Saccharomyces cerevisiae S288C: one gene and its partners. Changing the gene in region 1 together with any one later gene gives a genetic interaction. Each region holds a gene or a part of one and is shown on either strand. Other genes may lie near its edges.

The links. Genes that interact genetically often act in the same process or in processes that back each other up.
Region 2: mutations in MSH4 (region 1) and PMA1 together harm fitness more than expected from each alone (negative genetic interaction), as found in Saccharomyces cerevisiae (2 studies listed by BioGRID).
Region 3: mutations in MSH4 (region 1) and FRD1 together harm fitness more than expected from each alone (negative genetic interaction), as found in Saccharomyces cerevisiae (2 studies listed by BioGRID).

What each region holds. Positions count from the first base shown.
Region 1 is NC_001138.5:133,247-139,586, forward strand, and holds MSH4 (MutS family protein MSH4), read right to left. Parts: upstream 3,912-6,340; coding exon 1,275-3,911; downstream 1-1,274. Other genes in the region: VTC2 (vacuolar transporter chaperone), read left to right, coding at 1-1,050; YFL002W-B (gag protein), read left to right, coding at 4,958-6,274. UniProt on the Saccharomyces cerevisiae protein: Involved in meiotic recombination. Facilitate crossovers between homologs during meiosis.
Region 2 is NC_001139.9:479,410-485,365, forward strand, and holds PMA1 (H(+)-exporting P2-type ATPase PMA1), read right to left. Parts: upstream 3,258-5,956; coding exon 501-3,257; downstream 1-500. Other genes in the region: YGL007C-A (uncharacterized protein), read right to left, coding at 3,532-3,618; BRP1 (Brp1p), read left to right, coding at 3,851-4,228. UniProt on the Saccharomyces cerevisiae protein: The plasma membrane ATPase of plants and fungi is a hydrogen ion pump. The proton gradient it generates drives the active transport of nutrients by H(+)-symport. The resulting external acidification and/or internal alkinization may mediate growth responses.
Region 3 is NC_001137.3:64,885-69,277, forward strand, and holds FRD1 (fumarate reductase), read right to left. Parts: upstream 1,914-4,393; coding exon 501-1,913; downstream 1-500. Other genes in the region: TCA17 (Tca17p), read right to left, coding at 1-283; threonine aldolase GLY1, read right to left, coding at 2,745-3,908. UniProt on the Saccharomyces cerevisiae protein: Irreversibly catalyzes the reduction of fumarate to succinate. Together with the second isozyme of soluble fumarate reductase (OSM1), essential for anaerobic growth. Involved in maintaining redox balance.

The DNA.
Region 1 (6,340 bases):
AGTTCATTAGATTCTTCGATGTCTGCCAGTTCTATGATTTCTAATGTAAAACTGCCTAAAAAGCATGGTCAATGGCTGAACGATTTGACAAATTCTCATTTGGTCAAAGAAATTCCAAAGTTTTCTATCTTTGTGCAAGGTGTGGCATCATTGTATGGAGATGATGAAAAATTAGATATCTTACCATTTTGGTTACCAGATTTGGAAACAGATATTAGACAGGATCCTAAGCAAGCATATGAGGAGGAAAAGAAAAAACTGTTGAAACAAAAAGAGATACAAAAGAAAATTGATGGAATGAGAAGGCTTTCCAACTTAAAAGAGCCTCAACATCAAGCAGCAGTACCGGTATCTCAAGAGGAAAATGAGCGTATTACCTCTCAAGGTGATTTGGAGGCAGACGGTTCATCCGATGAGGAAACTGAGCAAGAACCTCATTCGAAAAGATCAAAGAAAGTTCGGAGAAGAAAACCCAAGGCCACTTTCTTGAGAATTTTGGCCGGTAGAGATCCAAAGTTAATGGGGGTGGATTCTGAAGAAGAAGAAATTGAATTGCCACCTGGTGTGAAAAAACCATTAAATTTGTTAAAAAATGCTGGTCCTGTAAACGTGGAGGCAAAGGTTTGGCTTGCCAACGAACGTACATTTAACAGATGGTTAAGTGTCACCAGTTTATTGAGTGTTTTGACGTTCTCAATTTATAATTCTGTGAAGAAAGCCGAATACCCCACTTTGGCTAACTACATGGCATACGTATATTTTGGTCTAACGATATTCTGTGCTTTATGGTCCTATTCCATTTATATGAAAAGAGTTGATATTATTCAACAAAGAAGCGGTCAACATCTAGATGCACCACTTGGTCCAGTTTTGGTTTCTATAGTTTTATTTGTCACTTTAGTGGTTAATTTTGTTATGGCGTTTAGAAATGCAGCAAAGTCTCGTCAAGAGTTGCAAATACAGAATTTAGAAGTTCCTGAAAGAATACCAGAAGTATTAAGGCCACTTCAAAATTATCTATTCAAGTTAATGGGGCCAAGCAGTGATTAGAATATGTACTCTATCTACTGAGACCATGTGTTTTTATGTTTGTAATGTGTAGCAAAAAATTATCATCTGCTAACAATTGCTTACTTTTAGAAATCACATTTAAGGGGAAGTTTTAAATCATTCATAAATATCAATGCATTTACATAAACATCATTTTCTCCGGTTTTTGATAACTCTGTACAGAAATAATGGATTATAGTTTTAAGCTAAGCGGAAAAGCCAAATTATTCTTCAAAATTTTCGATGAAGTCGGAGTTTATTTCTTTTAATTTCCCTAAAGTCAAGGGCTCTTTTTCATTTCCTGCACATTCTTTCAATATCGCTACAAGATTGTGTATTCTCTTCATTTGGTTTATGGTCTTTTGATCAACAACGCCATTTGAATCTTCGTTTTCAGTCCTTGCTTTTGCAATTTTCAAAAGCGAATGGATATTGTACGCTTCTGCAATAATATCCGGGTTGAATATTTTTTTTACCACCCTTATTCCACTATTCTCTATTGCGACAGATTTCTGGGTCAACTGATAATTCATTTTGACAGAATTGTCATTGAGAAGGACTGCATCCATATGAAGATGGGAAACTGCTGGCTTCTTAGACATTATTTTAGGAATGTCCTGGAAGTGTGTAGAAAGAAATACCGTTGCCTCCGTTCGAAGTAAATGTTCAGTTACTGCCAAAGACACACAAAACCCATCAGCGATGCTTGAACCACGACCAAGTTCATCTAAAATTAACAGTGTTTCTGTATTTATGTCATCTAAAAAGTAAGCCATTTCTTTCATTTCAAAACCAAAATTTGATGAGGTTAATTCCATACTGTCATTGCAGACTCTTGCATGTAGACGTTTAAAGACAGGAAAAGACCCATAAAGTGCCGGTATACCTGATCCCATTTGGGCCATTATGCAAATAAGGGCAACTTGTTTTAAATAAACAGATTTTCCACTCATGTTGCATCCGGTTATGATTTGTAAGCTGGAGCTATGTTTTGTACTTGATATGGTGTTAGGGACAAAATTTTTTAGTACCTTTTCAAGTAGTGGGTGTCTTGAATCTCGAATTAGTAGATTGTTTGTAAAAATCGGTATTGTGTAATTATTTTCTTTCAAATTATATGTGAATGAACAAACCAAATCCAGGATAGCCACTGCTTCTGCAATCATAAATAGTTCAGAAATATGGGTTGCAATTTTATCGAGCAGTTCATCAACTGTCTCTTCACTTAAAAGTAAAATCTCTTCCATAACTTCCTTCAACCTCGCATTTTTTTTTATTATATTTAGGGTTGTACATTCAATATAATTTTTTTTTATTGTTCTTGAAATGAATACGTCTGGAAGTGTAGCGACGTCATCGGTAAATTCCTGTCTTTTTATTCTGAGATAAAAGCCTCGTGCAGAATCGTAATTATGATCTAAATTGATTTTGTTTTTAGCGGTAAGATCTTCTACCTCACGAAAAAATTCCTCTTTTACCTCTTTGTAGATTTGTCTAGAAACATCCAAAAGCCCATTGGAATCACTTTTCACAGCATATGAACGTTGGTTAAGTAGTTGTATAGCTGAGGATGCCCAGACACAGTCTTCATTTATACAACTATTAATTAATTTTTCAATTTCCATAATTGCGTCATTATTGAATATTTTTTTGGTCTCGCTAATTAAACGGCTTTGAATTAACTGATCATTAAGTGCGTCTTTCAATGACTTCACGCTTTGTAAAGTTTCCTTTAGCAACAAAACGTAATTAATTCTTTGGTCAGGTTTTATTGCAGAATGATTAATGCATAATAACCTTGAAAATAACTTATCTAGATCAGGCAATGATTTCATTTCTAGCCTTAATTTTTGTAGAAGGTCATCATTGGCTTTCAATTCTTCTAGGGCCTCTAGTCTCATTTCGATACTGCCCCTATCAGTTAATGGCTGCAGTATACTGTTCCGAAGTGATCTTTGTCCCATTTTAGTGGACGTGGTATCCAAGAACTTCCATAGTGATATGCCATTCTTATCCAATTTATTTTCTACAAGTTCTAAACCTCTGACGGTTTTAGAATCAATCAGCATTGTATTTTCTGTTCCTTCAAACTGTATACGTAGTTTTCGAAACGCATTCAAATTTCGGCTGCTTTTGGATATAATCTCTTCCATGTAGCTTATCGCAGCAGATGCAGCACAAAGAGCAAACGTTTTATCTATAATCTCCTCGATTTTCAAGTCCTTTTTTGTATCATCCATTAAATACTTTGTAATCGCCGCCAGTCCATCTTGGCTATTGAAGCACTTTCGTGAACCCTCTTCAATTTTAACTGTCTCGGCCACATTAAATTTTATCATTGTCGCTAATTTTGATACTGTTGGAGCTAGAGAACTGCTTGGAATCAGTATTTCCGTAGGTTGGTAAATTTGGAGTTTATGAACTACACGAATGTAAATTTGTGAATCCATGAAATCTGAAAGATACATCTGTCCCGTGTTACAGTTGATAATACATAACCCAATCCGCGTACTTATGTCTCTTGGCACTTCGTATATGCAACAAAGAACACAGTCAATACTAGGACCGAGGAGTGAAGCGTTGGTGCTGTATCGACTTAAGGAGGTTGCGGTCCTAGAGGCCATTGATCCAGTCATTAAGTAATGGCTATGTGTTGAATCTTTTTCATTGTTTTCCCATGTTGTCTCTGCTATTTGTAGCGTTTTCTTTTTGAGAGCCCAACTACTTATGTTAGTTGGCGATTTTTGGTTCCTGATACTCTTTTTCGTACTTGGCTTCGAAATAGAGTTTGAAGAATTAGCCGCCGACCTTAAATTGAAATAATTTGTACTGATAAAACTAGATAGATTAGATTCACTCATTGCATATAGTTTGCGTTGATCAGCTACAGATTTCAATGCTATAACTAGTTATTTTTATATGTTTCACTTTAAGTAAAATCCAACTGCTCTTTTGCTATTCTTCGTTGATGCCTTATATGTATGAAAGCTGTACGTTCGGGATTTGAAAAGGAAATGAAGACGCGAATTAAAAAAAAATAATAAACTGGTTCATAGCAGAAAAGAGGAGACTAAATAAGATTTTGCTCTCATACAGATGCAACACATAAAAACTTTAATCGATTTCAGTATGGAAAAAGATATGATACAATAAAATCTAAATCTTAGAAACTGATTTTGAATAAAAAAACGACCCCAGTGAGGGTTGAACTCACGATCTTGCGATTAACAGTCGCACGCCTTAACCAACTTGGCCATGGAGTCAGTCACTTTTGAGTTCTGCAACTCTTAAAACGGAATAGACTACGTAAAACAATGTCATCCCATACCAAAACAATCCTGATTTCTCAAAGGCATCGCAAACCTCTGGAATAAAAATCCACTATCATCTATCAACTAATAGTTATTCAATATATTATCATATACAGTGTTAGATGATGACATAAGTTATGAGAAGCTGTCATCGAAGTTAGAAGAAGCTGAAATGCAAGGATTGATAATGTAATAGGATAATGAAACATATAAAACGGAATAGTCTAACATTAGTATGTAGAAATATGGATTCCATTTTGAGAATTCCTAAATCCTCGAGGAGAACTTCTAGCATATTCTGTATATGTTGGAATAAAAATCAACTATCATCTACTAACTAGTATTTACGTTACTAGTATATTATCATATACGGTGTTAGAAGATGACGCAAATGATGAGAAATAGTCATCTAAATTAGTGGAAGCTGAAACGCAAGGATTGATAATGTAATAGGATCAATGAATATTAACATATAAAATGATGATAATAATATTTATAGAATTGTGTAGAATTGCAGATTCCCTTTTATGGATTCCTAAATCCTCGAGGAGAACTTCTAGTATATCTACATACCTAATATTATTGCCTTATCAAAAATGGAATCCCAACAATTACATCAAAATCCACATTCTCTACATGGTAGCGCCTATGCTTCGGTTACTTCTAAGGAAGTCCCATCAAATCAAGATCCGTTAGCCGTTTCAGCTTCCAATTTACCGGAATTTGATAGAGATTCCACTAAGGTTAATTCTCAACAAGAGACAACACCTGGGACATCAGCTGTTCCAGAGAACCATCATCATGTCTCTCCTCAACCTGCTTCAGTACCACCTCCACAGAATGGACAGTACCAACAGCACGGCATGATGACCCCAAACAAAGCTATGGCCTCTAACTGGGCACATTACCAACAACCGTCTATGATGACGTGTTCACATTATCAAACGTCACCTGCGTATTATCAACCGGACCCACACTATCCGTTGCCACAGTATATCCCACCACTGAGTACTTCCTCACCTGATCCAATCGATTCACAGAATCAACACTCTGAAGTACCTCAAGCTGAGACAAAGGTGAGAAATAACGTCTTACCACCACACACTTTAACATCAGAAGAAAACTTTTCTACATGGGTTAAATTTTACATCAGATTTTTGAAGAACTCTAATCTCGGTGACATCATTCCAAATGACCAGGGTGAAATCAAAAGTCAAATGACTTATGAAGAACATGCGTATATATACAATACCTTCCAAGCATTTGCCCCATTTCATTTATTGCCAACATGGGTAAAACAAATTTTAGAAATTAATTATGCTGACATCCTTACAGTCCTTTGTAAAAGTGTGTCCAAAATGCAAACTAACAATCAAGAATTAAAGGATTGGATAGCTCTTGCCAACCTTGAGTACGACGGAAGTACATCTGCTGATACATTTGAAATTACAGTCAGTACGATCATTCAGAGGCTAAAAGAAAACAATATCAATGTTAGCGACAGATTGGCCTGTCAACTAATACTTAAAGGTCTATCCGGTGACTTCAAATACCTACGTAATCAATATCGTACCAAAACGAACATGAAACTTTCCCAATTATTCGCTGAAATTCAGTTAATATATGACGAAAATAAAATCATGAATCTAAATAAACCGTCCCAATACAAACAACACAGCGAATACAAAAATGTTTCTCGCACATCTCCAAACACGACTAACACAAAGGTTACAACTCGTAATTATCATAGAACAAATAGTTCAAAACCAAGAGCAGCAAAAGCTCACAATATTGCTACATCTAGTAAATTCTCAAGGGTGAACAATGATCACATTAATGAATCAACCGTTTCATCACAATACTTAAGCGATGACAACGAACTTAGTCTTAGGCCAGCAACAGAAAGAATCTAAGCCAACACACACAATAGACTCGAATGACGAACTACCTGATCACCTTCTTATTGATTCAGGAGCTTC
Region 2 (5,956 bases), on another chromosome or scaffold:
AAATTAGTGTGTGTGCATTATATATATTAAAAATTAAGAATTAGACTAAATAAAGTGTTTCTAAAAAAATATTAAAGTTGAAATGTGCGTGTTGTGAATTGTGCTCTATTAGAATAATTATGACTTGTGTGCGTTTCATATTTTAAAATAGGAAATAACCAAGAAAGAAAAAGTACCATCCAGAGAAACCAATTATATCAAATCAAATAAAACAACCAGCTTCGGTGTGTGTGTGTGTGTGAAGCTAAGAGTTGATGCCATTTAATCTAAAAATTTTAAGGTGTGTGTGTGGATAAAATATTAGAATGACAATTCGAGATGAAATTTTAAGCAAACTCTAGTAGGAAATAAGCGGCTTATTCTTGTTGGCTCCTAATTCTTTTTAGTGTATCAGTTCCCATTGATAAAAAAATTAAAATTAAAATTAGAAAAATTAAACCAGAAAAATCAAGTTGATTAAAATGTGACAAAAATTATGATTAAATGCTACTTCAACAGGATTAGGTTTCCTTTTCGTGTTGAGTAGAGACTCTTTGCATAGCAGCCATGAAGTCTTCGACACTTCTGGTAGACTTCTTTTCCTTCATTGGCTTACCGTTCATCAATCTGTCAAAGGCTTCAGAAGTGGACATTTCGTAGTAGAAACCACCCAAAACACAGAAGATACCGATAGACCAGATCCAGACACGGACGACAGTAACAATATCAGTCCAGTTTTCAGACCACCAACCGAATAAGGTAAACATGGTAGCGATGATGTCGACAGCGAAGACGGCACCAGCCAATTGCCAGGATGGGATAGAAGACCAGAATGGACCAGCAGCTCTGGTAATGAAAATCAACCAGTTTTCAGTCAAGGAAATTTGCAAGAACATAATACCGTTCATAGCACCGAAGTTTTGGATAATACCACCCTTTGGTAAGAACATAGTAGTCAAGGTAATCCAAGAACCTATAGCTAAAACTATGCCCAAAATAATAGACATACCCCATAATCTTGGTAGGTTCCATTTAACGGGCTTTGGAGAGTAAGGAGCATTATCGTAAGCAATAGCCAAAGTAGCAACATCAGCGAAAATAGCGATGAAAACAATCAAATCAATGTCCAAAGAGTTATCCAAAATAGCAATCCATAGACCCAAGAAGATTTCCAAATGTAGAGACAAAGCAATACGGTAAACAACGTAAGAGTACATTCTGTGAAAAATTTGTCTGGAGGTCTTCAAAGCATCAATAATAGCAGATAGACCAGGAGCCAAGAAAACAATATCAGCAGCAGATCTGGCAGCATCAGTAGCACCTTCGACAGCAATACCAGTATCAGCCTTCTTCAAAGATGGAGCATCGTTAACACCATCACCAGTCATAGCAACCAAGTAACCTCTGTTTTGCAAGATTTCAACAACTCTGTATTTATGTTGTGGGAAAACTTCAGCGAAACCATCGGCATTTTCAACAAAATCAGCTAATTCAGAACCTGGCATGTCACCACCGCCACCTAGACCTAATCTTTCAGCGTTGTAAATGTTGGTACCCAAACCCAATTGTCTACAAGTTTCCTTAGCAATACCAACAGCATCACCAGTTAACATCTTAACTCTTAGACCCAAGTGTCTAGCTTCGCTAACAGTTTGAGCAGTATCGTCTCTTGGTGGATCCATACATGGCATAACACCCAAGATTTCCCAGTGACCTTCACCTCTCTTTCTAGCAACACCTAAAGCACGGAACCCTCTAGAAGCCAATTCAGCAACCTTGTTTTCGTAGTTTTCATGGACATCTTCTGGGATTGGGTGATCTTCTTCGACAGTCTTCAAGACGAATAATGGAGCACCCTTAACACAAACAATTCTTTCACCTTCTGGAGATTCGACAACGGCAGTAACCTTCTTGGAGACAGGGTCAAATGGATGGAATTCCAAAACCTTGTACTTGGTCAAAGCGTCCTTAGCCTTTGGATATTGCTTCAAAGACTTCAAGAAAGCCTTATCAATAGCATCCAAACCCTTCTTCTTTCTGGAAGCAGCCAAACAAGCAGTCAACATCAAGTCGTCTGGAGAAACACCTTCAACAGTGTATGGTTCGTGCAAGGACAACTTGTTCTTGGTCAAAGTACCGGTTTTGTCGGAACACAAGATTTCGACACCAGCCAAGGATTCAATAGCAGACAACTTTTGAACAATGGCTTGTTTCTTAGCCAAGTAAGCAGCACCGACGGCCATAGTGGTGGTAACGACAGCTGGCAAACCGACTGGGACACCAATAATAGTAATACCTAGAGTGTATCTCAAGATTCTAACAATACCGTTGGTTCTGTAGAAACAAGCAGTCCAGACCAACAACAAAGTGGCAATGACCAAAACCAATAAGATAATACCAATACCGTTCAAAACTTCAGTGAAATGACCTTGACCACCAGCGGCTTTGTTAACCAAAGCAGCAGCTCTACCAACGAAAGTGTTGTCACCGGTAGCGGTAACAACCATGAAACCTTCACCTCTCTTAACAGTGGAAGAAGAGAAAGTTTGGTCACCGTAATGTTTGTCGACAGCCAAAGATTCACCAGTAATAGCAGATTGATCGATTTGCAAGAAACAGTCTTCAGTGACAATACGACCATCAGTTGGGATAACAGTACCATCTTCCAATTGCAAAATATCACCTGGGACGACTTCGTTGGCTGGAATTTCAACCAATTGACCGTCTCTGATAACAACAGCAGTGTTAGCCAAAGTCTTTTTCAATTCATCGACAATAGAACCAGCTTGGAATTCTTGAACGAAACCAACACCAGCGTTTAACATTAACAAACCACAGATAACACCGAAATCGACCCAATCGGACAAACCGGCAGCCAAAATAGCAGCGGCTTCCATAACGAATTGAATTGGACCGACGAAAAACATAACGAACTTAACGACTAAAGATTCTTTTTCGTCAGCCATTTGATTCAAACCGTACTTCTTTCTTCTTTTCAAAACTTCATCGGAAGTTAAACCGTAAGATGGGTCAGTTTGTAAATATTCTTCTGGAACTGGTCTAGCTTCACCGGCGGCAACTGGACCATCGTTATCACTGTCTTCGTCGTCGACACCGTGATTAGATTGTAGTTCTTCGATTAAAGCATCGATATCGTCATCGTCAGAAGATTCAGATGCAGCGTCATCGTAAGTCTTAGCAGGCTTTTCTTGAGTTGGCTGATGAGCTGAAACAGAAGATGCTGAAGAGGATGATGAAGAGGATGATGTATCAGTCATATTGATATTGTTTGATAATTAAATCTTTCTTATCTTCTTATTCTTTTCAATGATTTTCTTTAACTAGCTGGGGTATATTTTTTTTCTTTCTTTTGAATGTGTGTATAAAAGAGAGAAAAAATGGTTATTTTCCAATTAATTAATTATTAACGATTGTTAAAGAAAAAATTTATCAACGAGGTTGATAGAAAAAAAAAGTTTTTGTAGATATAGAAGAAAAAAAGATTTTCACTATTGGTGTTATAGGAAAGAAAGAGAAAAAATTTAAGAGAAATTAGATGTTAGACGATAATGATAGGACATTTGAAAATAATACAATATTTGGCCTTTTTATATAATCGAAACTAATGGAGGGGAGCATAAGCGGTACCCACCATCGACCACGTTTCGTCACCGGTCATAATTGGAATAAACAAAACAAACAAACGAACTAAAGAGTGTGAGAGTAACAATTTCCACAGAGGTAAAAAAAAAAAAAAGGAAAACAGAAACAAAAAAAGCTCATAGTTCTACTATAGCTTCTTCAGACTTTCTGTGAACGAGGGAAAAAGACAACAAAAAAGCAATGGATAAACGGTCTCGAGAGATTTTTCATGATGGAAAAGGAAGGAAAAAAACCCGAAAGGCATATGGATAACATTCTGAAAATGTCTATTCCTGTCAAAAGCATGTCAGAGGTCTCGAGGCCTGGAAGTGCCGCATTAGGAAATACAGATGCAATGCGCGCGAGTTTACGAAATTCTCGCAGGAGTTTCTCCGGCCATGTGCGGCTGGTTCTACGTCTCGTGTATGGGTTTATTTCTGCGGTAATTATCGCCGGATCTCCGCTTCGAGACCGGGTTTGTTTTCAAATTACCGGAAAAGGTCAGGCAAAACAGAGTGATGTATGGGTGATCCCAGCAATGCCTGTTTATGTTTCTCCGTTTCAGGAAGCTTGTTTTGTTTTTTCCCCGTCAGCGATGGTGACGTAAACGACTTTTTGCACTTTAGCAAAGCTGAGTTAATCTCGGAAAATCTCTGTGTCCTTCCTTTTTCTTCTAGCTTCCGTTCCGAGTCTCATCTTCTTTCCCGTGCCGTCGGGTTTAGTAAAGAAATGTAAAGAAAAAATGTCGTATCGTACCCGAGAAATATTTCAATTCTCTTACGTATGCGATAGCAGTTGGAAAGATCTGATTCGTTACGATGACTTGATAAGCGCGGGCTTTTTCGCCCTATACGGCTTGGGCCTGACTAAAATGTGATTCTGTGTTTTACGTATATGCGCGTATATAGAGCAATTGATTGACTTATTACGCAGTTTATCAAGATAAATTCTTTGTTCTTGCTTACGGGAGTGTGGTAAGCATGTATACGCCCGTTTAAAAACCCGATGGAGGCTTTTTCCCCAATTCTCGTACTCCATTGGGCATATGATTTCTTTCTTTTTCCCTTTTTTTTTTTTTCTATTTCCCTAAACTAACAGAACAAGCTTCAAAACAAATGACGGAGAGAAAAACAGTTTTGATTTACCAAATGCGGCAAACTTATTGAGGCTAGACACAGCTCTACCGGATTCGTCCGAGCACTTTTTTGTTTTCTTTTCTATATTTACTACAAACATAACAAAGTTTTGTGCGTCTTCCCTAAAGCAGCTAGGATGAAAATCCTATGCTCTCATCTCGCTGGTTGCCATCTCATCGCATCCAATGCTGTCTGTAATCATTTTATTGGACTTTTCTTTGTTTGCTAATCCCCCTTTTCTTTTTCCCGTTCTTTTCTTGTCCTTGTTTTTCATTTTAACTATATTTCTGAAATTAAGGAAAAATAAGGCAAAAAGTGGGTGGATGCATCTGCGACTTCTCTAGTTTTGCGCCTACTTGGGCGCGCTAATAATAAGGGTTTAGCTTCTTAAAATAAAAATGTCAGTAACAGTTGTACGATAAGGTCTTTACTTTTTTTCTCTCGAGAAATGTCTTTTTCTAATTAATCTCTCTTTTCTGTTGTTGGTTACTGCCTTCCATAGTCCAAGACCATTCGTTATATGGTGCAGTGTAGGATCGAGGAGAATCGGCTCACGGTGCTTATATTATTGCCCGGCTTCAAGTATATTTACATCAGTCTCCATAGTTGTTTTATCTTATTCTTGGCATTGATCTGCTTATTAAACTATTTATCGGTTCTCTCTTCTGGTACAGAACTTAACATGATCTTGTTTTCACTATTGTGCCATAAGCTGAAAAGGCTAAAATAAAATTAAGATAGTAAAGTTCACTCTTAAACTAATCAAGCATGAATAATACAAAATAAATATTTGAGCCAAAGGGGATGATTTAATTATCAAGTTTTTCTTTTCATACTTCGGTTTACAAGCATTGTTTACGGCTCTTCTTTTCTTAGTTCTTGGCAGTTTGTGTTTTCTTGATGAGAATAAGAAAAGTATCGATCTTACGGCAAAACATAAATAAAACACAACTTTATCTTTTTTTGTCGCAGTAGTGTGGTCCTACAGCTCCAAGCCTGCCGCTTTTAAAATAGTGAGCTGTGCATACTGATATATGTTCTATTTTACCCATTTGAGGGGCCTAAATTGTCTATTAATTTTTTTACTTTAATACAGTTTGTATAGAAACATGTGGCACTAACAGCTTTATCCGCCCGCAGAAAAGATAAAAAAAAAGGGTTTTTACCCGGCAAAGAAGCTTCTCCATCATTTGTCAGGG
Region 3 (4,393 bases), on another chromosome or scaffold:
GGCTTTTTTGTTCAAATCCAATGACAATCTTCAGGCCCGTCTGCTTAATCAACATAGCAAATACAGAGACACCTTCCAATTGAAAAATTGACTTCAGAAGAGGTTTGGAATCTAAAGAATGCCATTCAACCAAAGCACTTTCAAAATAATCTAACGATATGTTAGAAAGCACGTTATATTTGAGTACATCATTCATCTCATTCTCCGCCTCATTAGGGACGTAAATCAATATAGGTTTATCAGATTCATCTATCAATGATACGAAGCAAGGCCTCAAGCTCATAGTTTGGTGATATAAACGTACAATTTGATTTTTGGAGAGAATATTTACTCAATTTTCAACTCAATAACTTTTATGTAAAATGTTTCTTGGCCGTCGATGAGCTCTTCCGGCAGAACTTCGAAAGTGAAAAAAAAAAAAAAAAAAAAATAATAATAATATTAATACTACTTATATACTATTAAAAAATCGTTTAGAAATGATTCATTTATAAAATTCGTTACTTGCGGTCATTGGCAATAGATTCAGCTGCGGTTCTCCCAAAGACAACGCATTCTAACAAACTTGAACCACCCAACCTATTGGCGCCATGAACACCGCCAGAAACTTCACCGGCCGCGTACAGGCCTTTTAGTAGCCTTTCGTCGTTCTTGCCAATGACTTGAGCCTTGACATTGATTCTAGCACCACCCATGGTGAAATGGACAACCGGTGTTACTTCACCAATAAAAACCACAGTTTCTGGAGTAACGTCAGAGCCAAATTCGTTGAGAATAACGGTACGTCCCAACGGATCAGCCTTGGTAGTGAAGGAAGAGTATGTTTGCAATTCCTCGCATAATTGGGCGACAGTGATTGGTAAATTATATTCAGAAACAACTTGAGATAATGTCAATTTCTGTACAAGTTTCTTGAACATGTAAAAATCTAAATTATTCTTCAAATCTGTGTACATTTTTTCGCCCATAACCAATAGTGCTCTGTTATCCTCTTGAGGACAAACCTTTTGAATAGCTGCAGTGACTACATCTCTTGTGGTCAATTCGTTGACAAATCTTCTACCGGTAATAGGGTTTAATAGGATACCACCAAGACCTCTTAAGGATTCGGCAGCCAAGAATTTCCAGCTTGAGCTACGGTCATTTGGATCAATGAACCCAGTTGGATGAACTTGAATTTGGTCCATGTCAATCAGATCAGCGCCTAACTTCTGCAGAAGCCTTTGACCATCACCAGTTGTTTGTTGCCCGTTTGTTGTTGGCAAGTTCACCAGTTCGGGTGCGTATTCTTTAAGCATTTCCTTAGAAAAGCCAAACCCTCCAGAACAAAAAACGACATCGTTAGCACTCACCATGTGCTTTTCGCCATTCTTGTCCTCGTACACTACAGCAGAAATGGAGCCATCCTTTTCATGGATGTCTACGACTTTACTGTCTAAGTTAATCTTAACTAACTCTGGTTTAGTCTCAGCTAATTTCTTCAAATTGTTAGATAAGGCAGAAACAATTTCGAAACCTGGAGGCAACTTCCCAGACGATCTGTGAGTTCTTGCCACAGAGTGGCCACCCAATTGAGCCAATAGGTCCAATTTCAAATCAAATTCGTTTTTCAACCATTCAATAGCCAGGGGAGAATCATTGGCCAACTTAGCCATTAATTCTTGGACACCTTTACCTTTAGCAGACTTGATGGTGTCATCTTCAAATAAGCGTGGGGAGTCCTCGATGTGGAAGTGACGTTGAGTCTCGGTGCAAGCACCGTTAATACCACTGGAGGCCTTGATAGAGTTCCCACCGATCGAGGAAGCCTTTTCGAGGATGGTTACAGGGATGTTATACTTGTTAACCAATTCATTGGCAGCAGCCAGCCCGGCCAAACCGGTTCCAATAACAACAACGGGAGAGAGAGACATTTACAATTACGGATGAGGGGTTGTTGAAGTGAAGATAAGAAAAAAAAATGGGGTGCTATGTCAGCGTATTGTTCTCAGCTTTTATACGTGCAATAGATTAAGCTGTTCAGGAACGCGACGCGTTGCCCCCGTTACCGTTTGAAAAGAAAAAAATTTTCTTTTTCATACCTGTCTCTATTGTTTCAGTCATTCACTGCATGATGACAAATGAAAGAAGAAAGACAATAGTAGTAAAAGCAAAAAAGGAATTAAAGTGAACGTTTTTTAGACTCTTACGCATACATATAAATATATATATATATTTGTATAAAAGGTGTACGTCGAAATCCTGTGAAGAAACCCTGCGAGAATATACATGGGTACATTCAATCTTAATACGTAGTATCGTAGAATACAAAGAAATGTGCTTCTCCACGTGGATACGTACCGTTGTAAACTTTAATCAAGTACCAAAAAAACCAAACATATTCAGTCGATCTCTCAATGGGGAACAAAGAAAAGAGGTTCTTACCTTTTTTTCCTCCTTCCCTCAGAAAGACCACCTTCGTCCCTCCATAATAGGGTAGTTAGTCGCTAGGTGCGCTGGAAACTAACCATTGGTTCTCAAATGTGCCGACATAATTAGTTATAATTATGGTGTGAGAGTTGAAATATCCTTGAATAACAAAACAGAAAAAAGAAAAAACCCATTTGAATATAAAAATCATTGATGCAAAAGAAAGCCGTTAAATCTACAATGCCACGAAATTATTGTAATGTATGAAAAAAAGGAAGAGGGTAGCAATCCTAAAACAAAAACCCTAACAATACACATGATGCAACTGGAACGCATCAGTATTTGTAGGTTTTTATTTCGCGGATAGCGTTGCCATCAACGTCGACCTCGGTGGATTCACTACGGTAAATCTGGGTAGGTCCGTTACAGTCGAAAGGATGTTCTTTAGCATAGTCGAAGGCCTCGGAGATGGCCAATTTGACTTTTTCCAAAGTATCTCTGGTGACTTGATAGTGGAACGAGACTCTACCACCCATTAGCTTAACGTTGTACTTCAAACCCTTCTTAACAAGGACATCTGGGTCCATTCTAGCGGCCTTCAGGTTAATAAAGACAAAGTTGGTGTCTGCTGGAGACTCTAGCGGGATGCCCTTTGCCTCACAATATTCGGCTAATTCATGAGCCAAAGAGTGCGAGTACAGCAATTGGGACTTCCAATCGTTGTTGATGTTTACAAGAGCCATTCTAGCCATCATACCAGATTGTCTAATACCACCACCTTGTTGTTTTCTGAAATGGGTGGCCTTCTTGACAAACTTAAGGTTCCCAACCAAGACGGACCCAATAGGAGCACCCATAGACTTGGATAGACAGATGGAGATGGAGTCGAAGATTTCCCCATATTGCTTTAATGGCACGCCAGATTGTGCAGCGGCATTCCAGATTCTGGCACCGTCACAATGTAGTTTGAGACCATTTTCCATACACCAAGCTTTGATGCGGACCAGTTCTTCCAATGGATAAACAATACCGTGTAAAGTGTTTTCCAGAGAAATCAATCTGGTGGGGGCACCGTGAATATCACCGTCGTCTGGGACGTAGTGTGACTTGATGTCTTCCAAGGTCAAGTAGTCACCGTTGGAAGGAACCACAGGAACCACCATCGCTTGAGACAAGATCGCCAGTCCAGCGGCTTCGTGAGTGTAAACGTGAGCCCTGTAATCACATAGAATAGAGTATGGAGGTTGCATCAAGTGAGTTCTGATGGCAATCTGGTTGGACAAAGTCCCAGAGACACAGAACAAACCTGCTTCTTTGCCAGCCATGCGGGCAACGGTCTGTTCGAGCCTAACGGTGTCAACATCTTCACCGTAGACAGCGTCACCGATAGAGGCCTCTAAAGCGGCCTCCATCATCTCTGCAGTTGGAGTGGTGAATGTGTCTGACCGCAAGTCGTTAGCAGCGGTGATATATTTTGGAGGCAATTCGAATTCAGTCATTGTGTTTATGTTTGCGTTTGTGTGCGGGAGTAAAAGTGAGTGTAAGCCTAGGAAAGGAGGTGGTTACGAACTAGCCAGCGGAAACAATGTACGTATATGTATGTAAGTATTACTCTATACCAGACAGAACAAGATAGACGAGAAGGACACATGGAGGATTTGACAGGCAAGCTCAACACTTGCTTATATATATACACATATGTGCTATTGCAAATGCAAAAAGCGTATATCCAGTGAAGAAAAAGACGAAAAAAGACGAAGAAATAAAAAGAAAAACCGGTGAACGAATATGGCAAGTGAAAAAGTGCGCAATGAGTAATACAAAGGGCGAAGCAGCGGGAAAAAAGAAACGGCGCTGCTGCCCGGAAACCGGAAGCGAAGCTTTGTGGGGTACGGGTGCATGCTCGGCTTTTTCCAGATAGGGGAAGTGCCGTCGCCAAAAAGGCAAGGGTCCGTTTCGCGTGACATTTCATAGCGGGCCAAGC